Linked DNA regions of Ovis aries. The protein of the gene in region 1 purifies or fractionates together with the protein of each later gene. This does not show direct contact. Links are inferred from orthologs where the notes say so. Each region holds a gene or a part of one and is shown in the gene's direction. Other genes may lie near its edges.

What was found.
Region 2: the proteins of POLR3B (region 1) and POLR2E purify together in Homo sapiens (affinity purification with mass spectrometry; 7 studies listed by BioGRID and IntAct, counting the BioPlex papers as one, with this or other methods). This does not show direct contact. The link is inferred for Ovis aries from reciprocal best matches to the Homo sapiens genes POLR3B and POLR2E.
Region 3: the proteins of POLR3B (region 1) and POLR3H purify together in Homo sapiens (affinity purification with mass spectrometry; 8 studies listed by BioGRID and IntAct, with this or other methods). This does not show direct contact. The link is inferred for Ovis aries from reciprocal best matches to the Homo sapiens genes POLR3B and POLR3H.
Region 4: the proteins of POLR3B (region 1) and POLR3E purify together in Homo sapiens (affinity purification with mass spectrometry; 8 studies listed by BioGRID and IntAct, counting the BioPlex papers as one, with this or other methods). This does not show direct contact. The link is inferred for Ovis aries from reciprocal best matches to the Homo sapiens genes POLR3B and POLR3E.
Region 5: the proteins of POLR3B (region 1) and POLR3C fractionate together in Homo sapiens (co-fractionation; 4 studies listed by BioGRID and IntAct, with this or other methods). This does not show direct contact. The link is inferred for Ovis aries from reciprocal best matches to the Homo sapiens genes POLR3B and POLR3C.
Region 6: the proteins of POLR3B (region 1) and POLR3D purify together in Homo sapiens (affinity purification with mass spectrometry; 8 studies listed by BioGRID and IntAct, counting the BioPlex papers as one, with this or other methods). This does not show direct contact. The link is inferred for Ovis aries from reciprocal best matches to the Homo sapiens genes POLR3B and POLR3D.
Region 7: the proteins of POLR3B (region 1) and POLR1C purify together in Homo sapiens (affinity purification with mass spectrometry; 7 studies listed by BioGRID and IntAct, counting the BioPlex papers as one, with this or other methods). This does not show direct contact. The link is inferred for Ovis aries from reciprocal best matches to the Homo sapiens genes POLR3B and POLR1C.

Annotation. Positions count from the first base shown.
Region 1 is NC_056056.1:175,323,296-175,326,795, forward strand, and holds part of POLR3B (DNA-directed RNA polymerase III subunit RPC2), read left to right. Parts: intron 1-1,098; coding exon 1,099-1,131; intron 1,132-3,346; coding exon 3,347-3,403; intron 3,404-3,487; coding exon 3,488-3,500. UniProt on the Homo sapiens protein: Catalytic core component of RNA polymerase III (Pol III), a DNA-dependent RNA polymerase which synthesizes small non-coding RNAs using the four ribonucleoside triphosphates as substrates.
Region 2 is NC_056058.1:41,257,705-41,261,630, reverse strand, and holds the start of POLR2E (DNA-directed RNA polymerases I, II, and III subunit RPABC1), read left to right. Parts: upstream 1-1,126; 5' UTR 1,127-1,191; coding exon 1,192-1,248; intron 1,249-2,690; coding exon 2,691-2,865; intron 2,866-3,674; coding exon 3,675-3,790; intron 3,791-3,926. UniProt on the Homo sapiens protein: DNA-dependent RNA polymerase catalyzes the transcription of DNA into RNA using the four ribonucleoside triphosphates as substrates.
Region 3 is NC_056056.1:218,442,404-218,445,903, reverse strand, and holds part of POLR3H (DNA-directed RNA polymerase III subunit RPC8), read left to right. Parts: intron 1-1,674; coding exon 1,675-1,761; intron 1,762-2,147; coding exon 2,148-2,211; coding exon of another isoform or gene 2,212-2,224; intron 2,225-3,465; coding exon 3,466-3,500.
Region 4 is NC_056077.1:20,517,717-20,521,859, forward strand, and holds the start of POLR3E (DNA-directed RNA polymerase III subunit RPC5), read left to right. Parts: upstream 1-1,343; 5' UTR 1,344-1,469; intron 1,470-4,143. UniProt on the Homo sapiens protein: DNA-dependent RNA polymerase catalyzes the transcription of DNA into RNA using the four ribonucleoside triphosphates as substrates.
Region 5 is NC_056054.1:99,170,396-99,174,336, forward strand, and holds the start of POLR3C (DNA-directed RNA polymerase III subunit RPC3), read left to right. Parts: upstream 1-1,141; 5' UTR 1,142-1,319; intron 1,320-2,302; 5' UTR 2,303-2,322; coding exon 2,323-2,469; intron 2,470-3,071; coding exon 3,072-3,327; intron 3,328-3,437; coding exon 3,438-3,623; intron 3,624-3,941. Other genes in the region: E3 ubiquitin-protein ligase RNF115, read right to left, coding at 719-820. UniProt on the Homo sapiens protein: DNA-dependent RNA polymerase catalyzes the transcription of DNA into RNA using the four ribonucleoside triphosphates as substrates.
Region 6 is NC_056055.1:43,365,492-43,369,440, reverse strand, and holds the start of POLR3D (DNA-directed RNA polymerase III subunit RPC4), read left to right. Parts: upstream 1-1,149; 5' UTR 1,150-1,290; exon of another isoform or gene 1,291-1,342; intron 1,343-1,530; 5' UTR 1,531-1,535; coding exon 1,536-1,700; intron 1,701-2,670; coding exon 2,671-2,714; intron 2,715-3,949. UniProt on the Homo sapiens protein: DNA-dependent RNA polymerase catalyzes the transcription of DNA into RNA using the four ribonucleoside triphosphates as substrates.
Region 7 is NC_056073.1:17,058,153-17,062,287, forward strand, and holds the start of POLR1C (DNA-directed RNA polymerases I and III subunit RPAC1), read left to right. Parts: upstream 1-1,335; 5' UTR 1,336-1,356; coding exon 1,357-1,425; intron 1,426-1,544; coding exon 1,545-1,616; intron 1,617-4,135. Other genes in the region: protein YIPF3, read right to left, coding at 167-364, 966-1,046. UniProt on the Homo sapiens protein: DNA-dependent RNA polymerase catalyzes the transcription of DNA into RNA using the four ribonucleoside triphosphates as substrates.

The DNA of each region.
Region 1 (3,500 bases):
CCAAACTCCTGGTCGCCCCTTCAGACTAAAGGGGCTGCCTCAGCAGCATCCCTGCCTCCTCATCTCCAGAAATGGCAGCACTAAGGTGTCAGTCTCCGTTTGTCTTTCTCAGATTCCTGCATCTCATATACTATCAAGTCCTGTTGACTCTAACTTCACATCGTGTTTTCCTAGGCAACAGTTTCTCACTACCTGTATTGTTATCAGCCTAGAGTATTGCAGGAAACTCCTAAATGATCCCTCTGCTTCTAACCTTGTCTTTTCTCACCCCAGCAGCTGGAGTGATCAGTTAAAATGGACCACATCACCTTGTCACTCTTGCTCAAAACCTTCCAGCACTTCTCTGTTGCCCAAAGTCAAAAAAATTTTACAGTTTCTCACAAGGTCTTACATGATCCTTGGGCTCTTACTCAGAAACTGTGTTTTCTTACTTTAGACTCAGTTCTAACCATTTGTCAGATTTCCCATGAACAGATTAGATACCACTCATGAAGAGTTATATCATGATAGGCTGTTTACAACCTCAGGAAGGTGTGAAGAGCAGGCCTAAGAGCTGAACGTGGCAGTTAGTTCATAGCTGTTTAAATAGGTGAACACCGGGTAAATAGGTGAACACCGGGTAAATAGGTGAACACCGGGTGATATCTTTCTTCAGCCTGGGCTCTGACCAGGTGCTAGTTGAGAGAAAATAGGAGGGAGAAAGAACTCCCTTTGGGTTTAAACCAAACTCTCTGAAACTTACTGATACTTTCCCTTTCTCAAACTGGCAAACCCTGCTTACTCAGGAAGAGTCATGAGAATAAAATAAAGATGAAAAGTGCTTGAGTCATCAAATTGGGATTAAAGTATATTCTGTTTAAGAAATCTCTGGTTTATATATGCTTGTGTGTATGCATATGTTTGTATGCATGTACATGTACAGTACATATATGATTTCCATAAAAAGGTTACAATGTAAAAATTGTTCTTTCTGTTTCCACTTACTTTCTTTTGCTTACTGCGATAAAGTAAGTCACTTTTGTTACATTAAAATAACCTCATGAAAATATTGTGATCACTGACACAGAGTTCTGATACTTTTATTGTTCTGATTCACAGGAAAAATGGCGGCTGCTTCCAGCATTTTTAAAGGTAATTAATATCTAATAACAGTTATTTTTCCAATCAAGAGTCAAGAAATAAGCCTTTTTTAAAATTAAATTTTTATCACCAACATTTTTTGACTTTGTACAACTGTGCACTTTTCTAAGTTTTAGAAATATGAGAAATTATAAGGCAGTAACCCTGTCCATAAAGTACTAGGTAGGGGATTGTAATCTAATTTTAGAGGTAGGAAGTAGTTTACATTGTCACTTGGCATAGGAATAATACAAACCAAAGTGTACAAACCAAAGTGCTGCTGGCAGAAGATTGATGCCACAGGTGGTCAGAAAGGGCCTCCTAAAGGAGGTGAGACATAAACCACATCCTCAGAGGAGGGGAGGACTTCCCAGTTGGCTCAGTGGCCTGGCAGAGTGCAGTCCATGGGATTGCAAAAGAGTCAGATACAACTTAGCAAACTAAACAACAACAACAAGAGGAAAGGAATTTACCTAAGCCGAAAGGTAGGATGTGGGGAGCATGGCTTAATAAAAGACCTCAAGAGGAGGATCCATGGGGTCTGTTGAAAACAGAGTCCAGTCTGCTTGGCTGGAGTGGATGAGTGGTTCAGACAAAGGAAGTACAGATTATAAGGTTCCTGTTATCATTGAATTTCAGTTTTAAAGTGCTTATGCTAAATAGTAGCAGGTTCCACAATGAGAGACCACTTGACACCCAGTAGGATGGCTATAGTGAAGAAAGAAAGACAATAACAAATGTTGGTGGGGATGTGGAGCAATTGGAACCCTCACAGTCTACTGATGGAGATATAGCCGCTTTGGGAAACAGCCTGGCAGTTCATCAGATGGTTAAACATATAGTTACTGTATGATGCTGCAATTCTACTCCTAGGTATTTACTCAAGAGAAACAAAAACGTATGTCCATGCAAAAACTTGTACACAGATGTTCATAGCAGCATTATTTATAATAGCCAAAAATAGAAACAACTCGAATACCAAATGATGGATGGCTAAATGAAATATGATATATCCATACAATGCAATGTTTTTGGCAATAGAAAGTGCCAATACATGCTACAATGTGGATGCTCTTGGAAGCATTATGCTCAGTGAAAGAAAAGAGGGTTGAAAAATGAGTCAGGTTTTTTCCATCTTAGTTCTGTATTATTGGCAGAAGGGAGCATGCTGGCAGATGAGGCTGGGAATTGTCAAGGGCAGATTTCTGACCAGTTTTTACGGTCCATGGGCTGCTGAAGAGTCTGGAAAGCATGTCTGTGAGAAATAGTGGAAGAGCCTCTTCAGCCTGGAAGAGAGGACGTAAAAGAGATGTGATAACTAAATGGACTGTGGTGGAGAAGACATTTTCTCCAGAAAAGACATTAAGCCCATGGGGGGGAAACTGCAGGATGTTAGACTAGAGATCATTATCAGAGTGAATTTTTCCCCCAACAATCAGGACTATTTCAAAATGGGATAACTGCTTAGTAAGCCAGTGAGATCCCTCAAAAGAGGTGTAATTAAAGCAGAGGCCCTGTGATGCTTTCTGTTGAGTGTATTCTAGAAGTGTTGAACTAATTATGTTTGAACATTAATGTAAAAAGTTGAACACGTTACAGTCCTTTTAAATCCTAAGACTTTGGAATCTGTGTTTAGCCTTTCAGGGTTTTTCATAGCAGCACACAGCACTGTCTGTGTAGCTGTACTGACTTTTGAGATGAAAGGCAGTCACTGGAGCTGATCTGTTTGTTGGTCCCTGGGATTCACCTTGCTTTCAATTTTAAATGCATTTATTTTTGGTTTCCTTAATAGAGATCCTTATTTTTCCCCCTCATTCTTCTAAAAGTGATATGAAAGACCAGATATGGGGAAATCATAAAATCACTTACATAGGAGCAAGAAAAAAAGAAAATAGGCATTGTTTGAGGGTTGGAGACATGATGCTTGATTGCTATATTTTTTTCTTGGATTTTCTTTCTTGCCTAATTTGTTAGCTCATGGGGAGTCATTAGGTATATATCTTGAATTCCAAACGTCAAGTTGTTTTTCAGGGAGGAAAGTTTGAGAGTGTTCTAGTAAGATGGAGGAGAAATGGAATGAGGACGTGAAAATAGAAAGTTTTGCCAAGTAAAATGTATGGATTTTTTGTGGTCACTTTGGTCTTGGGGAAAATTTATAGATCAGGTTAAGCCCTTTGTGTAATCTGCTATTTTGTTGCTAACCTGCTTTTATTTTTTATCCATTTAGGTGAAAGGCCTTGTGAAACAGCATATAGATTCATTTAACTATTTCATTAATGTAGAGGTAAGCATCAAATCTTGGGAAAGGATATGATTACAAATGAACTGGAAGCCAGAGTCTTTCCTCATGTTACTCTTTCCATTGCAGATAAAGAAAATAA
Region 2 (3,926 bases), on another chromosome or scaffold:
TTCTTCCTCCTCTGCTTGTCTCTGTGTCTTTCCACATCCTGTCCACCTACAGATCCTATGAGCGCTGCCTTCTGGACACCCTAGACCTGCCCACAGCTCATCCTTCACTTGAGGCCTCATCTATCTCTGGCCGGGACGGTCCTCCCTAGCCCACTCCTTGGTCTCCCTGTTTCTGCCCTGTGGAGATGCTGAAAATGGCTGCAAGCACAAACTTCTCAAACCCAACCAGCAAGGGCTCCCAAGATCTGCCCCACCTGACCCTCTGACCCACAGGCCTCCTTGCTGCCAACATGCTAGGCCTCAGGGCCTTTGCACATGCTGTACCCTCTACCTGATACACTTTCCTCGACATCCCCAGGGCTTCTACCCTCTCACCCTTTGGATTTTTGTTGGAACCTTCCATGACCACATTTGAGACTTCTCTATTTTTTCTTCCACAGCACTGTCTCCTTCTAACACGCTGTATCATTTACTTATGTCCGCTGTTTCTGTCCTGTCTCTCCCTGGCATGTAAGGATGCTTGGTCTGTTTTGTTCCCCGTCTCTTTGGCTCCTCATTAAATACTGAATCATTGAATTAATATATTACTGAATGAGAAGTTACTGACACAAGTAAGCTGGGCTGAGCAGGCCTGAACAAACCTCCTGAACGAACTCGGAGGGGAAGGGCCGATGCAGAGGTTGTGCACTCTTGGGGTATCCAGGCAGGGGCTGGGCTGGGGCTCAGCTGCATTTTGTAAGCACCAGGAACTATACCAAGCTCCTCCCAAGTACGAGCATCTCTTTAGATCCTCTAAAATGGGGGACACTTTATTCTTTTCATTATACAAAACGGAAAACCGAGGCTCCGCTCACACTTCCTCAATCTCTCCAGATTCTAAACACTGTCCAGACTGACGTTGAGCAAAAACCACCACTCCCGAGAAGCCGTGCCGTCAAAGCATCGCGAGAACTTCCGAGGGGCGGGTGGGCGGTGCTGTTTGAAAGCTGCTCGCGCAACCAACCGCCGCTTTAGGAAGGCTAGGGCTGCCCTTGGCAGTGCCGCTCCCGAAGGTCGCTGTATTCAGGCGTTCGCCTGCGACAGCCCTGCACGGGTAGACGACGTGTTGGGGGCCTGATCAGGACTCGGAGTAGGCACTGTGGGCCCTGGTCGTGCTGGTCGCAGGCGCAGTGTGTGAGAGCGGCGGGAATCATGGACGATGAGGAGGAGACATACCGGCTGTGGAAGATCCGCAAGACCATCATGCAGGTGAGCCGCGCGGAGGCAGCCCTCCTTGGAGAACGCGGTGAGGGCGTGCCTGGCTGCGCCAGACGAACTGGGCACGTGGCGGCCGAGGCGTGAACGGCGGGTGCTAGGGCCCGTTGATGAGGACGAGCCTCTTCACCCGCGGCGGCGCGGCTGGAGCGGAGGAGTCGAGCCCCAGAGCCCCCAGAGAAGGGGGTCAGGATCTCGCTCGAGCTGGAGAGAGGGAAGGCGGGAGACGCTGGGCCGCCTTGTATTTGTGTTTCTGGAGGGTTGTGGTGTTACAGCCCCTGATCCTTGAAGTTCTTAATCAGTAAGAATTGATAACAGGCCAGACTAGAAGGTCAGGCAAGGCTTTGTTGGAGCTTATGCTGCAGCAGGAGGGAGCGAAAACAAGCAACAGGCGCCCTTCTTAGGTCGTCTTGAATGGGATAATGGGATGAGGGTGGGCGCGGGTCCAGGGGTCATGCCAGAGTGATGATTCGGGTGGTCTGCCTACCCTCTGGGTGGTGCTGTGTGCAGGGATCAGGCCTGGCACCCAGCTTTTGCTCCGGCACCTCAGAAGTGGAGGTTTTGACTTTCTGTTGTTGTCTATCATTTGCTCGAGCTGGGCAATTGCACGGTTATTTTTAGTCCCGCATGGTTTCTGGGTATTCTGTTGCTGGAGAAGATGTTTGTCCAAGTGCAGGCGCTGCCGCAAAGGGTCCCAGCTCCCAGCCTGTCTTATCAGCACCACCGTAAGTGCATAACGCAGAATCCCGGGTTCTTGACGGTGGAAGGAACCCTGGTGGGCTGGTCTGACTGCTGTCTGGTGGTTACTTAGATGCCTTGCCCACCAACTCAGTCTCAGTGTCACAGCAGTCACACCAGCTTTTTCTGTGTACCACATGCTTTAAGCCACCATGTGAGAGGGGTCCAGTGTGATGCCACAAAGACTTGGGGCCTTGATCAAGAGCACCCAGCCTCCTGGGAATTGTGCTGGAGCTAAGGCTGGGCTATGACCCAGCCTCTTCAACACTTGGCAGAGCTACTCAAGACAGGGCGGGAGCAGCTGCGCTTCTACCTGATGGTGTCGGGGCTGCGGGAGAGGAGACCCAGGTCTCTGAATGGAGACTCGGCGGGGGGTGGGGGATGTGGGCAGGGCTGGGTGGCAGCTCCAACCTTCCTTTGTCTGGGTCCTCACCTAGTCTGTGTGCTCACAGAGCCCTAGTTTCTGAGCAGGACCTTGAACTGCTGGGCCTCAGGCTTTTGCCTGGTTTCACAGCCAACACCCGCCCAGCCTGCTGTACCTGTCAGACCTACGCCCTGGGGCCTGACTCTGGACTCAACATCTCCGCTTGCATCCCAGGCCTTTCCCCAGTCTCCTCTGCGGTGGGTGAGGCCACCGGAGCTCTGGCTGCTGTCCTATCTCCACTGTGCGATCGATCACCTGCCCTTTCTCTCTGCAGCTGTGCCATGACCGTGGTTACCTGGTGACCCAGGACGAGCTGGACCAGACTCTGGAGGAGTTCAAGGCCCAGTTTGGGGACAAGCCCAGTGAAGGGCGGCCAAGGCGCACGGACCTCACGGTGCTGGTGGCCCACAACGACGACCCTACTGACCAGATGTTCGTCTTCTTCCCAGGTGAGGGCTGCTCAGGGCCAGCTCACAGCAGCCACCTGCTGTGCGCCCCAGAGTCATGCACCCACCCTTATCCTTCTGTCCCCTGCCCTCCTTGCTCTGGGAACCCCTTCTCCAGCTTCCCTCTTCTCGATCACCCATCCATTCTCTCTGGGCCTAAAGATCACATTTCCAAATACAGTTTCATTCTGAGATTCCAGGGCCAGGACCCCAACAGAGGGACTTTGAGGGCAGAGTGGGTTAGTGGAATGGGAAGTGAGAGCAGCTGGAAGGGGCGGACATACTGCACACAGACCCTGGGGCTGCCCTAGGTGCTGACCTGCTGGGCTCCTAGGGTCCGGCTGTTCTGTGGCAGGCCCTGCATGCTGCCAAGACCATGAGGACCCCCAGTGCTACGGCATGGAGATGGGTGGTCTGTGTCTGGCAGGACCATACTCTCTGGGTCAGCTCACCTCAGCTTACCTCTGAGAACCCCAGCCCTTGTCTCATGAACTCCAAGACTAAACCAAATCCAGGGCTTCCCAAACCTCAGAGCCACTGAGCCCTGGCCAAGCCCAGACTCCCAGACCCCACTTCCAGAAGAGGTCCCTGAGGTCCAGGGCACCCAGGGCACTTGTCAGCTCCCATGTGACCTGGAGGCAGCCAGCTCCCCCATTCTGGGAACCAGCTGCCCAGTTCTTGCTTTGCACACGGGGAGGCTGAGGCCCAAGAGTGGGAGTGGCACCGCAGTGCCTTGGCAGAGCCAGGCTAGAACCTGGGTGCCCGATGGGAAGGGGCCCTGCAGCACTGATCAGCCTGTGCTCTGCCTGCAGAGGAGCCCAAGGTGGGCATCAAGACCATCAAGGTGTACTGTCAGCGCATGCAGGAGGAGAACATCACACGTGCCCTCATTGTGGTGCAGCAGGGCATGACGCCCTCTGCCAAGCAGGTAAGCCTGCCCCGCCAGGGTGGGATGGAGCCTGGCCAGCACCTCTGTCCCCAGGCCCGGGGACCGGCTGCCACACTAGCTCCCAGCCACCCTGGGAGCATCCTGACAGGTACTTACCTTTCTTGATGTGAGATGA
Region 3 (3,500 bases), about 43 Mb from region 1:
CGATCCCCGGGTCGGGAGAATCCCCTGGAGAAGGAAATGGCAACCCACTCCAGTACTCTTGCCTAGAAAATTCCACAGAAGGAGGAGCCTGGTGGGCTACAGCCCATGAGGTCGCAAAGAGTCGGACATGACTGAGCGACTTCGCTTCGCTTATTTCCTGCAGCCTAATATCCTCAGGGGTCATCTGTGTGGTTCCCGGTGTTAGCCCTTTATCCTTTCCTGAGACTGAACAGTCTTCCGTTGTGTGGCTGTGTCACAGTGTGATTACCCATCCGTCTGTCCACGGACACCTGGGCTGCTCGCCACGTGCTTTGCTTATGGTCGTTCCAGACTCGAGCTCCCTGGGCACAGGATCACGTGTTGTCCTGCCCCAGAGAGCTCCATGCCCAAGCCCAGCCTGGCACAGCCCTGGCAGAGGCTCCGTGGGGACTTATTAAACTGAGCTGATGGAACTGGGTCACATGGGCAGAGGGATTTTTCCGTTCTGTGCATTAAGGACATTGGCCCTCAGCTGCTCTCTCCGAGGTCAGCGTGCGGCTCTCCTGTCTCTAAGGCTCGGACAGCTGTGCTTGTCCCCTCACCGGGAGGGAGGTGCACCAGCTGCCCCCTGTCCTTCCCCCACGCTTTCCTGCCTGGTGGACTCATGGGAAGCAGCCTGCAGGGAGCCGGGGTGGGGGGCAGGTGGACCCCGCTGTCCTTGGGGCAAGCCGCAGACCAGGCAGCTGAGGGCGCTGGACGCAGAAGCCTGTGTCTGGGGTTAAACAGGGGAGGCAGACCCAACCCCGTGGATCTGGGTGGTGGCTCAGAAAGGCTTGGCGTCTCCCGCTGGCAGAGCAGCTGTGCGGCTGTGGGCAGGCCACTTGACCTCCTGGAGCCGCTTGCTTCCAGTGGGGAAGCGTGACACTCACACGGGCGGATTGAGATGGGCCCTGGGCAGCTGGGCGGGGGCAGCCTCGTGGTTATTATCTAGCCCTGGCGAAGTTCAGGCCCTAGACACCGTATGCCTTTTGCGCTCAGTGGGCACCCCCTTTGAGGCGCTCTGCAAGGGGCAGCAGTGATCAAGGGACGGCTTCTGCCAGGCCGTGGAGTCAGAGTCTGTGATGTGGGCACAGACCCTACCTGGTACTTTCCTTGGGCTCACGTGAGTAGGGACCACCTAGGGCAGAACCTGAGAACCCACAGAGGCATTGTTGCTGGTTTATTGGCTTCCCCCAACCTCCCTGCCCCCCCAAATTTCAGGGCATTTTTAGCATCCTTTTCCAGGTCAGAGCTGCGCCTGGGGCAAACTTTGCCGGTCAGCGGGAGATGGGGAACTTGTTTCCAAACCTGGTTCTCTCTGCCAGTTGCTTCTGCCCTTGTTAGAATTTCAAGGAGAGCGCCCGGAGGAAGGCTGAGATTGATTTGGCGTCACTGATGGCCAGGATGTGGGCTCAGGCATGGCTGATGGGTTGGGAGCGGGCCTGTTTCAGGGCCAGCACTGCTGGCTTCCTGTGGGGGCCAAGCAGTGGCCTTGCAGGAGATGAGGTCTAGGCCCATGGGGAGGCCTGGCATGGACTGCTGGGTGGGCTCTAGGTGCAGCCCTGGGGGCTGGCATGCCAGTGAGTGAGGCCGCCCCCAGCCGGAGTAGCCCTTGCTTACGGCCTGCTCATCACGCCACGGTGTCTCCGTTTCCAGTTCACTTTCGCTATGTGGTGTTCCATCCGTTCCTGGACGAGATTCTGATCGGAAAGATCAAAGGCTGCAGCCCGGAGGGAGTGCACGGTAACATCGGCCCTGCGTCCTCACGCGAGACCTGGGAGCATGCTGGGGGCAGGCGCTGGGCCCATAGCCTCTCCAGGTGGTCAGGGGAGCGGCCACCTAGACGAGCAGAACCTTCCCGAGGGGCTGCTCAGCCGTCCGTCCTATAACAGTGCGGACCCCAGCCAGCTCGGGGCCTTGGCCAGGAGGCTGAGACGGCCTGAGGGAGGCACCGGAGCTGGCGGAGGTGACCCGGGCTGCTGGCCCCAGTAGTGCAGGGTCCACCTTGAGTTTGGGTGGCTGCTCAGGCCGGGCAGAGGCGTGGGGCTCCGAGGTGGAGGAGGGGTCCCCGGGCAGCACAGACTTGGGGCTGGCCGGTCTACTCACGTTGTCACCTGCCTATCTTCCAGTCTCCCTAGGGTTCTTCGACGACATTCTTATCCCTCCGGAGTCGCTGCAGCAGCCGGCCAAGTTGTATCCTCCCAGGGTGAGAGCTTGCACCCCTCCACAGAAGGGTCCCCACTCCTCAGGGTGGCTCTGGGGCCTGTGACCTGATGCTGCTGGCCTCTGTCCACCTCTTTTCTCATTTGCTCCCAAAGCACGGACCTGCCTGTACGTCCCACACGGGCCACGGGGCCTGCGCCTGCATTGGGGCTGCCAGGCCTGGTTCTAGCTCGCCTCGCTCAGGTTGTCCCCTCAGGAAGCATCTCAGGTCGCCTCCCTCTGAGGCCCCTGGCTGGCCCGCCGCCCCTCCTCGGCACGCGTGTGAGGGCCTGGTGCTGCAGGTCCCGGCCCTCGCCCTGTTGCACTGGGGTGGCTGTTTCTGTGGGTGCTCCCCAAGACTGCTCACCGGGAGAGACCCCATCTTGTCCCAGCTGTGCCCAAAGTGCCCAGCAGGGGACCTGGCAGCGAGGAGAGGCAGGGCCCACCTGCAGGCTGCCACTGGAGGGCAGTATGTCCCTTCAGTGTGGGGTCTGCTGAGGGAGGGGCCCTGGTTTTGTGTGTGCACACGTGTGCGTCCACGTGTACGTGTGTGCATGCATGGTGTGTGTGTACGCATGCACAGGGCCTGGGGCAGGGTCTTTGTGTGACTCTGAAACTTGTCAGAAGACTTGCCCTGTCCTGTTGGAAACCGAGACGGTTCCTGGGCTGCCTGCCGGCAGAGAGCACTGAGGCGTGCAGAGGCGTGCGGGATTGCGCCGTGCGGAGCACATGGCCAGCTCCGGCCAGCGCTCGGGTCGACCGTGGGGCCTGTGCGGGGCGCCCTCCACGCGTGCTGCGTCATTACCACCCCGCCGCAGCCCCGGAGGGCAGGTCTCCCTAGCGCCCCTGGTATACCGACAGGGGCCCTGAAGCACGGAGGCTGGGCCCGGCCTGGAGGTGGGCGGTGAGCGAGGTTTGAACTTGGGAGCCAGCCTCTGAGAGGGCACACAGGTGGGGTCCGGGTGGCGGTGCAGCTTGTGCTCTGCTCCGAGCTCCTTCTGCTCTGATGTCCGTGTTCCAGGCCTGGGTCCTGGCACTCTGGTCACTCCATGGGCTCCAGGCGGCCCGACCTCACCTCTTGTATGTGGGGCTGAGCCCTCTCTTCCTGTGACTTCCTGGGCAAAACATGTCAGCCTGCAATTGCCTCTCCCTGGGGGTTTGGGCACTATGGGAGGAACCCCCTGCCTCCAAACCCAGGGCTTCACCACTAGCCTGGTTGTTGCCTTGACCGTGTGCCCTGTCCAGCGACGAGGCAGAGCAGGTGTGGGTGTGGGAGTACG
Region 4 (4,143 bases), on another chromosome or scaffold:
CTACATATATATCAATATGGATAGATACTAGAAAAAAATAGGTGAAAAAAGTCAGTTGCAATAAATACTCAGTTCAGTTCAGTTCAGTTCAGTCGCTCAGTCGTGTCCGATTCTTTGCGACCCCATGAATCGCAGCACGCCAGGCCTCCCTGTCCATCACCATCTCCCAGAGTTCACTCAGATCACGTCCATCGAGTCAGTGATGCCATCCAGCCATCTCATCCTCGTCCCCCCTTCTCCTCCTGCCCCCAATCCCTCCCAGCATCAGAGTCTTTTCCAATGAGTCAACTCTTCGCATGAGGTGGCGGAAGTACTGGAGTTTCAGCCTCAGCATCATTCCCTCCAAAGAAAGCCCAGGGCTGATCTCCTCCCGAATGGACTGGTTGGATCTCCTTGCAGTCCAAGGGACTCTCAAGAGTCTTCTCCAACACCACAGTTCAAAAGCAATAAATACTACTAGTATGATTAATATTTATATTTATGTAAAATCCATAACAATAAAAACAAACTACCTATTTCTATGGATATATCTATCCACGTGAATATATCCATATATATTCACATAAATTCACAATAGAAGGTCCAGAAGGAAACGCAGTGTACTAAGCTGTATAACGGTTACCTCTGAGGAAGGGACTTAGAGACCGAAGGTAAAAGAACATTAGTACCTTATCTACAAAGTTTTCATATTTTGCAATAATTCACATATTATCTGTGTAACTAAAAATTAAAACACATAATTTTAGAGAAAACTGCCTACACCAGTCCACGGGTTTGGCTTTCGGAAGCCCTGGTGCGGGTTACTGCCGAAATCCATCGTTTATTCCCGTGTGGGTTAACCTGCTTAACGTGTTAAACGTCCTACTCAGAAAACAGATTCTTAAACTGTTCTAAGATCTGTTCGGAAGAAGTGTGGGTCTAATTACTGGAGAAAATATTTTATTTTTAGTAGCCAATACTTTCTAAAATAGTTCTATAGGGATGAAGTAAAACATATAGCAAACAATCAGAAATTAAGTGTACTTGCATGTAAATGCATTAAATAGCTTTCTGGAAGGCCCCACTCACAACTGGGTAGCGTGGCCGAGCGGTCTAAGGCGCTGGATTAAGGCTCCAGTCTCTTCGGGGGCGTGGGTTCGAATCCCACCGCTGCCAGAGTGAGCTTTTTGCCCCTTGCTACCTCCTCACCAGCTGTTTTGCTACTGCGTCAGCGCCCCCTGCTGCCAGGCCAGGGCTGGCCGCCCGTATGAATGGAGCGGCGGAGGGGGCGGGTCCGCGCGCGCCGGGGCGGGGCATTGTGGGTAAAAGGAAGCGCTAGGGCCCGCCCCTCTCGCTCCCCCCACGTGTCCGCCCGAGTTTCTCCACCGGCAACATGGCCGCTGCCTGAGAGGAGAGTCTGGCCACTGCCGCTTCTGCAGCCCGCGGGTACCTGGGCCGTTGCTGCGCCCGCGTGCGGGCCCCGCGGAGAGGTGAGTGCCGTCTTGGCAGTACCCACCCGTGCTGGAGCCGGGCCGTACTCACGAGGTGGGCTTGGGCGGGGCTGCTGAGTAGGCCGGGAGGCCCGCGCCGCGCGGTGCCCAGGGGCCGGGGGCCTCTTAGGACTCCCGCGGGAAGGACGGGCAGCCTGCCCCAGGAGACCCGGGCCGGCCACAGGCTCCGACCTCGCCTCGCCGTGGCAGTCGGTGACGCCAAGGCCGAGGCTACCGGCGGTGACTCAGGGTCCCGCCGCTTTGCCCCACCCGGCTCAGGCCGGCCTCCTGTGGGAGCACCTGTCCGAAGGCAGCCGGTGTCCTGCCGGCGTGGCGGCTCGTGGCAGTGGCTGTGTGGTGGGCGTGAGAAGGGGGCCTGACCACCCGCGAGGGAGGCGAAACCCATTGGACAGTGTGGCGCGGGGCAGGCGGCCCGCCCCGATGGGCAGGGGGAGGGTGTCCGGGGCCCCCTCCTCGCCGCCGAACCGGATCAGCTCGAGTCCGGCTAGGCCTGGAATTCTCCATTCATTTATTCCAGCCACCCTTCAGTGCTAATTGGGAGCCAGCGACGTGCGGCCGATGGGGCCGGCCCTGAAGATTTGATCAGACGAGGTGTCAGTAAGCACGTCAAGTAAACCAGTAAATAAAAAAAGTCATTTTGTTGTGTTAGCTTTAGAATCATTGGAGGGCAGAAAAAGGAGAGCTTAAAGCAGTTGTCACGGTTTTCTTCATCTGTGAATTGGGGGTAAGAGGATTCCCCCGCCTCCTAGGGCTGTGATGAGAGCTAAATATAGGGTAAGACGGGAGAAGCGCCAGGTTGTAGTGTTTGTTTCGTGGCTCTGTCTCCTGCCCTTTTATATTGGAAGAAAACATTGTGCCGAGTAAGTAACAAACCTTCCCAGGGATTACGTTTCTACTTTACTTAATCTTCACAGTTTTCTGAGGTTGGTACTTTTGTTAATACCCATTTTTGGGGTGAAAATAGTGAAGATCAAACGATGCTAGACGGGGTAGAGGTACCAGAGGGCAGACCTGGGATTTGAACCTGTGCAGTTTCACTCTAGAGTCTAGGCTTTTACCCACTACACCATCCTGCCTTCCACTAAGGGAGCTCGCAGCATAGTCGTTAAGAATGAGAATAAGGCTATTTGACATCAGCTAGACCCAGGTTTGTGGCTTAGCTCTGCCTTTCTCTGGCACTGTGACCTTGGGTAAGTTACTCTCTGAACTTGAGTTTCCTCTTCTGTTAATTGGGGATGGTATCAATACATCCTTACTTAGAGAGCTATTGGACAGATTACATGAGGATGAATATATTAAGTCCTTAGAGAAGGGAGGGTCTTATGAGTTAAGAATTAATTCTTTTTGCCTCTAGGCCACCTCTCTCCTTGCATTGAGGTGGAAACTGAAGTGACTCAAAAAGGGGAGATGCCTTGTCGAAGGGGCACACAGCCAATAAGAATCCAGACTTTGAGACTGTTTACCCTGGGCCCCTTACCCCTTAATTCAGTTTTGTGTTGTCTCTCTCCTTCCAGTAGCTGGAGACTGTTTTTCCGTTGGCCTCTGTTTTTCTGATTGGCCTACAGGTTAGACTCCTGGGTGACCCAGCTGTGGCCTTCAGGCATCTTCTCTGCTCTGGACCCTCCCTTAGATTTACCTTGTCCCCTTTCCTTTGTTGAACAGTCCCCTGGTGGGGATGTTTTCTGTGCCCAGTGCTTGGAGCCGCTGCCATAGAGTATCTTTGTGGTCACAGGAAACCCTCTTGAGGTCAAGGTGGTCACTGCTGCCTTGAGGTGGTGGCCTGGAAGTGCAGACCACACCCCTGTCCTCAAGTGTCCAGGAGGCCCGAACTGTAAGGCCACCAGTCTCTGGATGGGGCTGAATTAGGATCACTGGGTAAAGGGTCTGTCACTGCCTGATCTCATGCACTGATTTACTCAGTCTTTGTACTATATTAAGTGTTTACTTCACTGTTCTAGATATTGGGAGAACAGCATGAATTTTTAAAAAGATAATAATGCCCGTATCAACTCCACAAAGTAAATTAAATCATCTCTGTTTTATGGTTGAAGCACAGAGGGTGCTCATGGAGCATACATTCTAGTGCAGAAGACAGACAACACATAAGCAAATAGACCAACTAGGTAATTCCAAGTTATAATAAGAACCATGAAAGAAATAAAACAGGGATTTGGTAGTGACTGGAACGGGTGAGGGGTGGGGGCCTTTAAGGTGACTGGTCAGGGAAACTTGTCTGTTCCTGGAGGAAGTGGGATGGGTGATATCTAGTGAAAAGGAGCCAGCCTTTTTTGAAAAGACCTGAGGAAAATAGATGATGTGCAAAGTTCCTGAGACTGGCTGGGGCTTAGCTTGTTGGAGGCCCAGCAAGATCATATGGGACCTTGGGGCCATGGAAAGGAATTTGGATTTTATCCTATGTGACAGTTGAAGAGTTTTGAATGGGGGAATGATAACTTTCCTTCCAAGGAGCAAGGGTCTTTGAATTTCATGGCTGCAGTCACCATTTGTGGTGATTTTGGAGCCCAAGAAAAGAAAATCTCACTGCTTCCACTTTTTCACCTTGTATTTGCCAGGAAGTGTTGGGACAAGATGCCGTGATCTGTTTTTGAATATTGAGTTTTAAGCCAACTTTTTCGCTCTTTCACCCTCATAA
Region 5 (3,941 bases), on another chromosome or scaffold:
ACTGGCAGCATGACAATCAAAATATGCAAGTTGAAACAATATGTTCTGCCTTCTTCCTAAAGCCATTTCCTTCAATAGTGATAGGGAGCGCAGGCAGTCTGCAAGTCATTAGCACACTGCTGTTTTCACTTTCAGAAGAATACTGGAAACCCCTGAAGAGCAAAATCCCCCTCTCCATCCCAGTTACCTTCCAACCCTCTCTTTCTCTCCGCGTTTTCTTGCTTCCTTTCCTAGGGACGACCGAATAAGGGCAATTCTCAGCAATCCGCTATTTTGCTTTAATGAGAAGAGGGAAGGGGGGGGGGGATCTGGTAAAAAGTGGAAAAGGAATAAAGGTGAGAGGCAACAGCGGAAAGAGTATGGAATGCAGGAAAAGAGAGGTCATCGTGGGAAGGAGACAAGGTGAAGAAGAGTGCATGAAAACAGGCGACGTGTCAGAAGAGAACTTGCTAAATAAAGAAGGCAAAAAAAATTAAAAATGGAGCGCGGGGGGGCGGGGGGGATGGGAGGAGCTGGTCAAGACGGGAGAGAAAGTGAAGGGCAGGTGGAACATCCGAGCGAGAGTTGCGGAGCCTGGGCCGAGACGCCCGGGCAGCAGGGTACTTGAGAGACCGATGTCAGGTGAATCCGGGTTGTGTGGGAAGCTTAACCCCCACTCCAGGCCATCTGGGAGAGGAATCCGGGCCGATGCCGGAGGGCAGAGGAACCGGGCTCTTACCGGTAGTTTGGGGCTGACCTCGCCCTTGCAAAAGTGGCAGAAAAACCGGTGCGCGGCAACCGCAGAGCCCGCGCCGGCCCCGGCCGCTGAAGCCTCCGCCATTTTTCTCTTTCGCCACGGCTGTCCGTCCGAGAGGGCAGCCGGCCGGTCTTTCGCCAGGCCGCTGGCTCCCGGCTGCTGTCGCCTCCTCTGCCGCCTCCGCCGCTTCCTCAGTGCTGCCAGCCTCTCCAGAGCCCGCGCGAGTCACGTGAGTCCGCCCGGCCCACAGAGGCGGTGGCGCGGCGGCTGACCCCGCGGCCCGCCTCCCAGAACCAAAGAGGCGCAGGAAGGAGAGTCCGCCCGCCGCCGCCCGCCGGCCGGCTTTTCAAACAGCCCCTCGTCGGTCCTCCAAACTCCCACCGAGAAGAAGGAAAGAGCGTCCCCGGAAACCACCGAAACGCTGGGGTAGATCGGCACATGTTTTTCCTCTTCGCCGGTCCTCCTCGGTGGCCGTGCTCCTGCGCCAAAGAACCTTGGGCTCCCCCTCTGCCCGGGCGGTCAGCGGGAACCTCACAAAGCAGTCGTGGGGAACTCGGCGGCGTTACGTTGCATTGACCCAGAGGTTAGTGGAAAATGCTGTCTGAACGAGGCAGCCCTGTCTCTGGACCCGGGCATCCACTCCGGAACCGGAACCAGCAGGAAAGGAGTGAAGAGCCAGGAGCCAGGCTCCCTAGAAATCCTTTTCGAGGATGGCAGAGGGTCTGGGGATGTGTCCCCAAAGACCTGTGGATGGGGATAGTGAAGCTGAAAGGCATAGTCTTGGTTGGCTTCTGAGGGATTGGGAGAAATAGATGAACAAACCAGTGTTTGATAGCACTTGTGATTATATAGTCAACCATGTCTGTTTCTTTTTGTGTCTACTTAGTCAAGAAATCGAAATTTCAAAATTAAGTACTGCCCTGCTAACAACATACTTCATCTCCTATCTGAAACACCCTGTTGAAAAGCTATCATTTACCTCCTAACTTACTTTGCAAAGTTGTCATTGCCTGTTCACTCCCAATAGGAGTGAAACAATGAAGTATAGAATCTAAAGTCTGTGATAGATCGCAAAACCATCTACACCCAGTCTTTCAAGAAAATTAGAATCATACATGATCCCATAAAGATAAATCTCATATACATAGGTTTCCAGTCTTCTTTTTCCATGCATGCATGTGGGGATTTTTTCAGTAATTGAACTTTCCTCTACATTTTGCTTTGTAACCCGCATCTTTCAGTTACAGAATAATTTCCTACACTAATACATATTGTATTGTGAATGTTGGCATAGAATTCCATTGCATGCATATACCATAATTTATTGAAATAATCACTTATTAGGTTCCCAGAATATCAGTATTCTGACGTGACATATTTTTATCATTCCCTTGGAACAGAATATCTAAAACAAAAGAATTAGGTCAAAGAGATGCAAGATTTTAAGGCTTTTGGTATATCTACTGTCAAATTGCCATCTAGAAAGAACATGAATTTACATTCAGCAATTCTGCTCCCAACATAAAAGAAAAACTTCCCATCATACTGTTGTGTTTTTTTTTCTAGCTCTGAGACTCCTCAGCATAATGACTCAAGCAGAAATTAAACTCTGTTCTTTGTTGCTGCAAGAGCATTTTGGAGAGATTGTAGAAAAAATTGGAGTCCACCTAATCAGAACTGGCAGCCAGCCCCTAAGAGTTATTGCCCATGACACAGGAACATCACTAGATCAGGTAAGTTTGGATCACATCAATTTGCTTTCATTTCATTAATTTGTTTTACCTACCCTTTAATATTGTTACTGCCTGCCCCACAAGGACAGAGGAGCCTGATGTGCTGCAGTCCATAGGGTTGCAAAGAGTCAGACATGAGTAAGAGACCGGATAACCCCACAAAATGGAAAAGAGCAAAGTCTGCCCTAGAATCAGAATGGTGTTATTTGAGAGGAGAGAGAGATTGAGACATAGGGCCCAAGGTTCTGCTTCTCAAAGTGTTCTGGCTCCTTGTGGCTTCTTAGGCAAATCTTTGCTCCTCCTATCCCATACTTCATTTATTCATAATGAGTCTATTAATCTCAGTACTACATTTTAAGAATGAGAATAATATAGGGAAAGTAAACTGTACTTTGAAAAATAAAGATTGGAGGAAATATGAACATCATAGTAAGGAATCTTCCTGATTTTTTCCACTGACATTCGATTCTCACTAACTATTCCAGTGGAGAGAGGGAGCAATTTGCAGCTGTCTCTTGATGTTTAGGAAACTGTTGGACAAAACTTGCCAGCAATAATGAACTGCATCTTCAGATTTTTCTTCTCTTTTATATCCTCTCTAGGTAAAAAAAGCCCTTTGTGTCCTCATCCAGCACAACTTGGTGATATATCAAGTGCACAAACGTGGTGTGGTGGAGTATGAAGCCCAGTGCAACCGGGTGTTGCGAATGCTTAGGTATCCCCGGTACATCTACACCGCCAAAACACTATACAGTGATACTGGAGAGCTGATTGTTGAGGAGCTGTTGTTGAATGGCAAAATGACAATGTCAGCTGTTGTGAAGAAAGTAGCAGATAGGCTCACAGAGACTATGGAGGGTCAGTACTGTATCCACAGTTGTTAACAAAAGTATAGGTTGACTGGATGCAGGAGTGAACCCTTAGCTACCTGAGGCCGTCTCATTTGCCTGTTTCCTCCTGTCATACAGATGGCAAGACCATGGACTATGCCGAGGTATCAAACACATTTGTGCGACTAGTGGACACACACTTTGTGCAGCGTTGCCCTTTGGTGCCTGCCACTGAGAATTCAGATACTGGGCCACCACCACCTGCCCCCACTCTTGTCATCAATGAAAAGGACATGTACCTCGTTCCTAAACTGAGCTTGATAGGTAAGGAATTTTGACCCTGAGATCTGTGACTTGCCCTAATTGTAGATTCTTTCTTGAACGTTTCATAGTGATTGTTAAATGAATGTTTTCATTGTTAACCAATGAAGCAGTTACCAAGGATTTGCTCTATGCCAGATACTATGGTATAAAGTGATGAAAAAAACATTATGGTCCCTGCCCTTATGGAGCTTGAGTCTAGTATAGGAAGCTTACATTAATCAGATAGACTCATGGATATGTAACTAACAAACTGTGATCAGTACTGTGAAGGAAAAGTATGAAAAGTGTGTTAGGAGTGTTATGAAAATATATAACAGG
Region 6 (3,949 bases), on another chromosome or scaffold:
ACTGAGTCACCAGGGTAGTCCCTCTGCACTATTGCATACAACTACTCATGTATCTACTATTACTTCAGAGCAAAACAAACAAAAAATTAAAGTACATCTTCTTTTGACCACTTATCGCCAAGTCTAGAAATTTGTCCTAGGAATAGAACCCGAAAGACTAAAGTACTTTAAAGGCACCAGATGTTCAAAACAGTGGTATTTACAACAGGAAAAAAGAACCATTTTGTGTCCAAACAGCGACACAGGCAAATCATGACACAGCCACCCAAGAATTATGCAGTTGTTTGATACAGCCACAAAGAAATGTTATTTGAAAAGGGAGGATTCAAAACTGTGGTACAATATGAAATCTCTGTGATGGGGCTGGAATATATTGCAAAAGTTTTAATAGTTACTCTGTGTGAAATTCTAACTAATGTTTCCCTTCCCTCAAGCTATCTCTAAAGTTACAGGTTTGGGAGGGGAGGGAACGATAGTAAAGGACATTTTTTATGTTTAATTACAAACGTCAGAGTCACGATGAAAGTTCTTTAAATCTATCCCTCCCAGTAGAACGAACTTCGTTTTTCAGGTTCCAGGATTGGAACAAGCGTGTATACAAGGACCCAGAGTCATGAGCCTAGGGCAGGTGCGATTGAGGCACCCCCCTCAACCGCTGCAGCTGCTCCAGCACTGTGCTCACGGCCCCATGTCCACAGCCCCACCCCAGGACCCCACCAGGAGTCCGACGAGGAGATCCCCCAAAGAGAATGAGGACGCAGCCCGGAGGTGCAGTGACCACTCCAAGGTCATCATCAAGCCGGCAATCGAGGCTCGGCCGGGCGCAGCCTAGAGCTCCAGGACTCTGAGTCGGGGTCTCGCAATCTGCCTCGCATCCCCACCCCATCCCGAGTCTCGACCCGGAGGCTCCCCAGCGACGAACTCCCACGTTGCGTCCAGATTGCCTCTCGGCCCCCAGATCTGAGCTGTGCGCCCCCACCTTATGCCCGGGGCCAAGACCTCGCGAACGTACCCTTCCCCTAGACCCTTCCCCTCTTCCTTTTTCGCCCTCTCAACCCAGCTTTTCCCGACTCCGGGAAGAACCGGGAAGAGAAGGCGGAGGCGAGCGAGACGCCGCGGGATAAATACTGTGGCCCGGCCCCGCCCACCGACATCACTTCCGCCCCGCGACAAGATGGCGGCGCCCCGGCCCTGCCACGCAGACTTCCGCCTGGCGCCGAGACTGGGAACCCGCTGCGCGTCGCGTCGGAGGTGAAATCGGGACACGCGTGGTGTGGAACTACATCCTAGGTGCGGAGGGGTGCGTCTTTGCCTCGTGCCTGGCCGGGGGCCTGGAGAGAAGGCGAGCCAAGGGCCCTAGCCGGGGTGTTCGGGGGAGTCCCGCCACGTGGGAGGGGGAGGAGCTGAGTCTCTGCCGGAGGGACGCGCCGACTCGGGGGGCGGGAGGCCACGTGGGTGGGGTTCCGCTCAGGGTCCGCGAGTCCTTCTCCCTCGAGTGACTTCGTTACCCCTTTTCGCCTTCTTTCTCAGGCATCATGTCGGAAGGAAACGCCGCGGGCGAGCCCAGCGCTCCGGGAGGGCCCCGACCCCTCCTTTCTGGGGCGCGGGGGCTTATTGGGCGAAGGCCGGCACCTCCCCTCACCCCGGGCCGCCTTCCCTCCATCCGCTCCAGGGATCTTACCCTCGGGGGAGTCAAGAAGGTACCCGACGGCACCTTTCTAAAGAAATCCAGCTACGCTGAATTCCAGGCACTTGGGGGTTTGACTGTAGGGCCTACTGTGTGCCAGGCGTGGTGCTGGGCCTTGCGAATCTTGTCTTCAGACTTCCGCCTGCAATTTTTGGGGAGCCTGCCCTACCTTCAAGTCAAGATACTGGGTCCAAGATGTTGACATGGCTCTCAGAGATGGCTGAATAGCAGAGAATCCTAATTAGCTCAGAAGCAACTTGAGCAGGGTTTATTTCCTTTTGGTGTGTCTTGGATACCTTTCAGAAACCCATGAAAGCCACGCAGACATAAAGTTTGCCTGCAATTTAAGAGAGTTCTGAATTTGCCCTGGATCCCAGTGTGCAGACTTCTGGTCCAAAGTATTGAGTCTTAGGTGTGATAGTAGAGCCTCTGTGTCTTATATTATGTTTGTGACTGTAGATGTGACGGGTAGACTGTAAAGAGAATGGGGAGGATGATAGAGCATAAAGCAGCCAGTTTTTGAAGGCCTCAGTTTCCCTTTGTAAATTCTGGTGGCAGTCTAACCCAATCATCAGTTTGTGAGTGCTGGCAGAACTGTCTTTCCCATTTGAACCTTGCTGGTAGAGCTCATCCTCTATAATACTGTCTGGTCTTAGCAATTTGAAGATGAAGTGTGAGAGTAGGTAAATTCCTCTGCTGTTAGAGTCCTGAGGGTTGTCCTTTCAGGAGGCAGAAACTGAGGCTGCCATTTAAATGTTTTTTGATGCCCCCTTCTATATATAGCTTCACCGTTGCCTTGGCATGACATTCCTCCTTTTCAAGCACCTGTCCATTTCAGTAAATCTTTGACAACAGTATGGAATGTGCCAAAGAGAGCCATATTGGTCTTCATCCATGGAAGATGCCCTTTGGAAGTTTTTCCTTTCCTCTGTACTTTGGGACCAGAATTTACCAAATCAGTGACTCCTGTATTTTACTTTCAGAAAACCTTCACCCCAAATATCATCAGTCGGAAGATCAAGGAAGAGTAAGTAGCTAGGCCTCCTGAATCCTCGCGCCTTGTTTGTGCGTCTGTGCTCAGTCACTTGCTTGAGTCTGACTCTTTGCCACCCCAGGGACTGTAGCCCGCCAGGCTTCTCTGTCCGTGGGATTCTCCAGGCAAGAATACTGGAGTGGGTTGCCATGCCCTTCTCCAGGGGATCTTCCCAACCCAGGGATGGAACCTGTATCTCTTGTGTCTCCTGCATTCTTTACCACTAGTGCCACCTGGGAAGCCTTGCCCCTTTGTTTACTTGCTCTGAATTTGGACTTTGGGGAAATAACTAAGTAGGTGGCTCAGAAGTTTAAATTTGTAGATTTAGTTCTTTGCAGTAGTGATTAGCGACCCTGGCTCCCAGGTGATTCTAATGTGCAAGCTTTAAAAAAATACTGATGCCTGGGAATCCATCCTTAAAATTGTTTTAACTTTTTTGCAGTGAAACAGTGATTATCTTTTTTATTTAACTTTTAATTTTTTATTGGGGTGTAGCCATTTAACAGTGTTGGGATAGTTTTAGATTAACAGTGAAGGGACTCTGCCATATATATACATGTATCCATTCTCCCCCAAACTCCCCTCCCATCCAGGCCTCCACATAACATTGAGCAGAGTTCTATGTGCTATACAGCAGATCCTTGTTGGTTATGCATTTTATTTATTTATTTTTTTGGTTATACATTTTAAATACAACAGTGTGTACAAGCAGCCACAAGTTCAATTTCTAAGTCTGTAAGTCTTTTTCTGTTTTGAAGTAAATTCATATGTATAATTTCTTTTTAGATTCCGCATATAAAGGATGTCATACAATTCTCCTTCTCTGCCTGACTTACTTCAGAGAGAGATTATGTTTTATAGCCAGAGTTGAGAGCCAATAGTTTGGGCAGAGATGGGTCAGGTTTTCCTTTTCGTTCTTTTGCATTGCAACTTTCCCACTTTCAGTCGATACCAAAAAAAAAAAAAAAAAAAATCCACATTTGGGGGCAATCTCTATAATTCACCTTTTGTGGTATAGTTCTAGTATACACTCTTCGAAAAGGTAAAGTACAGTAAACTGAAGGACTCTGCCTCATCAAGGAAGTGAAAAACGTGCTAGACCACCCACACAGGTGGGTACTGTGCTTCTCATGATATAGTTGTTGGCTCATAAACTCCCCTCCGGTGGAGCAGAGTGGTGTGGGAGAGTAAGACCAGTTCTCGGACGCAGGTGACGTCAGTAGTTTCCC
Region 7 (4,135 bases), on another chromosome or scaffold:
GGGTGGGGTGAAAGGGTGCTGTCAAACTCTTGGCTCTATGTTACTTATTTTTTATCTGATTTCAAAATGGTGTGAACTGGACAACCTGGGGTGGACTTCACCAACTCCAGAACCAGAGGTCTCCTCGGTATACTTTTCCACCTGTCAGGGAGCCAACTGTGCTTACCTGATCAGCCACCTGCCGGCTCAGCTGTCCCTTAAAGCCCTTCATCCCCAGGAACTCCCCATCCTCTTCTTCAGCAGCAGCTGCATCAGCATCCACTTCTTCCTCACGCAGGCGCTGATGCAGCTCACCCATGTCCTCGAAGCTGGAGCCTGAGGTATCATCCATGTTCTCCATGTCAATCACTGCTGAGCCCCCACCCTGTGAAGACAACAGACCCTAGAGTGCAGGACCTTTCTGCTTCGTCCAGTTGAGTCCTTCTCCGTTCACCACAAGGTTTGGGGCTAGGGGACTTGAAATCGCCACAGATGACGCCACTCTCTTCTCCTCATTTGGTCTCAGAACCCCTGCTTGTTTGGTGCTCTGTTCTAGTCTGGGGAACCTAGTCCCTGTCTTCCATACACGGCTTTTTCCTACCTTCCCTACCAAGGCCCCAAAGGGCTGCAAAGTGCCCATTTCCTTCATCTCTCCCAACCCCAAAACAAGGCTATGCGCACCAAGTGTGGTTTTGGCTAGTGAATCCCATCCACCCCCAAGCCCACTCCCGCCATGCCTGTCTCCGACTGACTTTCCTAAACTTGTGGAAAGCAAGAGCAATTGGGCCCAGATACCTAAGGCCCCTGGCTGGAGTACCAGTCTGGAGCTTTAAGACCAGCACTAGCCCCACTGCCTTTCTTGTGCACGAAGACTCAAAAGAAGATAAAAAGTGTTGCAAATGGACCAGACTTCCAGGCTCTGAGGGAGAGTTCAGGGCGGCTGCCGGCCCAGGGGCTGCGGGCAGCCGGAGCCGTGGGGCCATTACCTGGATGTTTTCTTCGAACCCTCCCCATTCCGGGCCGGTCCCGTTTCGGGCGCCGCCAGCCGGCGCCGCCGGAGTTGCCATGTCCCTCGAGGGCTCCCGTCGCTGAAGCCCGTGCTTGTCCCGCGCGCGGAGGAGGAGTGGGAGAGATGCGGGCCTGAGAAAGGGACAGGTCTAGGGACAAGAAAGAAAGGTACTATGGGTCGGAATGCAAAAAAAGGAGAAACCCGGATGTTTGGCTCAAACCAACTTCCGGTAGCTGGGGACGTGGACGGAGGCAAGGCACAGTCTCGCGATATTTAAGATTCTAGGAGGTGCGTTGCTACAGAAACGGAGGCGGACGACTAGTGCGCACGCATCAGTTAGGTACTCTGGTCACGTGGAGGAGTTGAAGATGGCGGCGGCCCAGGCTGTGGAGGAAATGAGGACCCGCGTGGTTCTAGGGGAGTTTGGGGTTCGCAATGTAAGTCTTGTGGCCTTCAGCTCGGGAGCAGAGTGAATCAGGGATGAGTTGGCGTCAGAGTGGGGACGGGCTTGGCCTCGCTGCCCCTTCGCAGACATTCTCGTCTCTCTTTGCTCTAGGTTCATACCACTGACTTTCCCGGTAACTATTGCGGCTACGATGATGCCTGGGACCAGGACCGCTTTGAGAAGGTAGGTGGAGCTGGAACTGTGGGATCGGACTTTGTGATATGAGCAACCTGTGCCTTAGAAGCTGTCCTTGTAATTTCCAAGGCGCAGCAGAAAAGGGCAGCTTGCAGCAAGGGGCAGAGGGCGGTAGCTGGAAGCGGGGTTGTAGCTTCCCCCACCGGTAGTCCTAACTACGACCACAGGAGCCAGCAGTTAGGGCTAGAGTCCCTAGTCCTTGTCTGCCTAGTCAAGAACGAATTCAGGCGAGGAGGCAGAAGGTACAGAGTAAAGTACGAAGTTGATTGAAAAGAGAAGTACATGTAGAAAGGCACACGGGCAGGACCCTCCCATGGGATGCACACTCACCTCTTAGCCAAGATGGATCTGGAAGTGAAGGCTTCTGGGAAGAGCAAGACTCGTTATGGCCTGAATTATCCTCTGACTTTTGACCCCAAGTAGCCTTTCTGCACTTGTGATGTATCTTCCTTATCCTAAAAAGGGGGAAGCGGAGATCCCTTAATCCTTACTCAGACGAGGGATTTCGCCTTGCTTTGTTCTTGCTATAATTATTTCTTCAAGATATTTACTAGAGACAAAGACTGTTGACTCTGTTTCTGTTCTCTCTTCGTTTCTGGAGGGCAAACAGGAGGCTGATAGGAAATTCCTCAGCTGGAGCCCGTCTGTCTCCTGCCATACTTGTGATGTGGGACATGCTAAAGTAAAGGTCCAGGTTCTTATTCTACCTGTCCAAAGTGCAAAAAAATGTCACACAGAGAAACTGAGGTGTAGAGAGAACAAAGAAGCAATTTATTAAGGAGAAGGGAAAGCAGGCACTCACAGAAGAATACGAGTGTCCACACGAGTGAGGAGACCACCTGAGGGTCTTTCTAGCCCCACTCCATTATTTTAATTCCTTGAATGGGTGCAGGTTTCTTTGTTGTTGTTCTTCAGTTGCTCAGTTGGGTCTGACTTTGTGACCCCAGGGAATGCAGCACGACAAGCTTCCCTGTCGTTCAGTATCTCCTGGAGTTTGCTCAAACTCATGTCCATTGAGTCAGTGATACCATCCAACCATCTCATCCTCTGTCACCCACTTCTCCTCTTGCCCTCAATCTTTCCCAGCATCACTCGTTTGCAGTGAGTCAGCTCTTGGCATTGCGTGGCCAAAGTATTGGAGCTTCAGCTTCAGCCTCAGTCCTTCAATGAATGTTCAGGGTTTATTTCTTCTAGGATTGACTGGTTTGATCATTTGATCTTCCTTGTTGTCTAAGGAACTCTCAAGAGTCTTCTCCAGCACCACAATTCGAAGGCATCAATTCTTTGGCACTCAGCTTTCTCTCACATCCATGCACGGCTACTGGAAAAACCATAGCTGTGACTATATGGACCTTTGTCAGCAAAGTGATGTCTCTGCTTTTTAATGTGCTGTCTAGCTTTGTCATAGCTTTTCTTCCAAGGAGCAAGTGTCTTTCAAGGCTGCAGTCACCGTCTGCAGTAACTTTGGAGCCCAAGAAAATGAAGTCTGTCACTGTTACCATTTTTTCCCCGTTTGTCTGTCATGAAATGATGGTTCAGATGCCATGATCTTAGTTTTTTGAATGTTGAGTTTTAAGCCAGCTTTTTCACTCTTCTCTTTCACTTTCATCAAGAGGCTGTTTAGTTCCTCTTCGGTTTCTGCCGTTAGGATCGTGTCACCTACGTATCTGAGGTTATTGATATTTCTCCCAGCAATCTTGACTGCAGCTTGTGCTTCATCTAGTACTCTGCATATAAGTTAAATAAGCAGGGTGACAATACACAGCCTTGACGTCCTCCTTCCCCAATTTTGAACCAGTCCATTGTTCCATCTCCAGTTCTGACTGTTGCTTCTGGATCTGCATACAGGTTTTTCAGGAGGCAGGCAATGTGGTCTGGTATTCTCATCTCTTTAATTTTCCACAGTTGTGATCCACACAGTCAAAGGCTTTAGCTTACTCATTGAAGCAGAAGTAAATGTTTTTCTGGACTTCTCTTGCTTTTTCTATGATCCAGAGGATGTTGGCAATTTGGCCTCTAGTTCCTCTGCCTTTTCTAAATCCAGCTTGAACATCTGGAAGTTCTTGGTTCACATACCATTGAAGCCTAGCTTGGGGAATTTTGAGCATAATTTTGCTGGCATGTGAAACGACTGCAGTTGTGCAGTAGTTTGGACATTGTTTGGCATTGCCTTTCTTTGGGATTGGAATGAAAACTGACCTTTTCCAGTCTTGTGGTCACTGCTTAGTTTTTCCAAATTTGCTGGCATATTGAGTGCTGTACTTTAACAGCATCATCTTTTAGGCTTTTAAATAGTTCAACTGGAATTCCATCACCTCCACTAGCCTTGCTCATAGTAATGCTTCTTAAGGCCCACTTGACTTATTTGATTAGGGACGGTCTATTTATTATTGGGAGGATGGGTGGTTATAACAGCTTCTCTTGTGCATCTGTCTCCTAAAGCCACCACACTAAGAGCTTTCCCCCCTTTAATTTTCCCTTGGAGTGAAACACCAGGTTGTATAGAA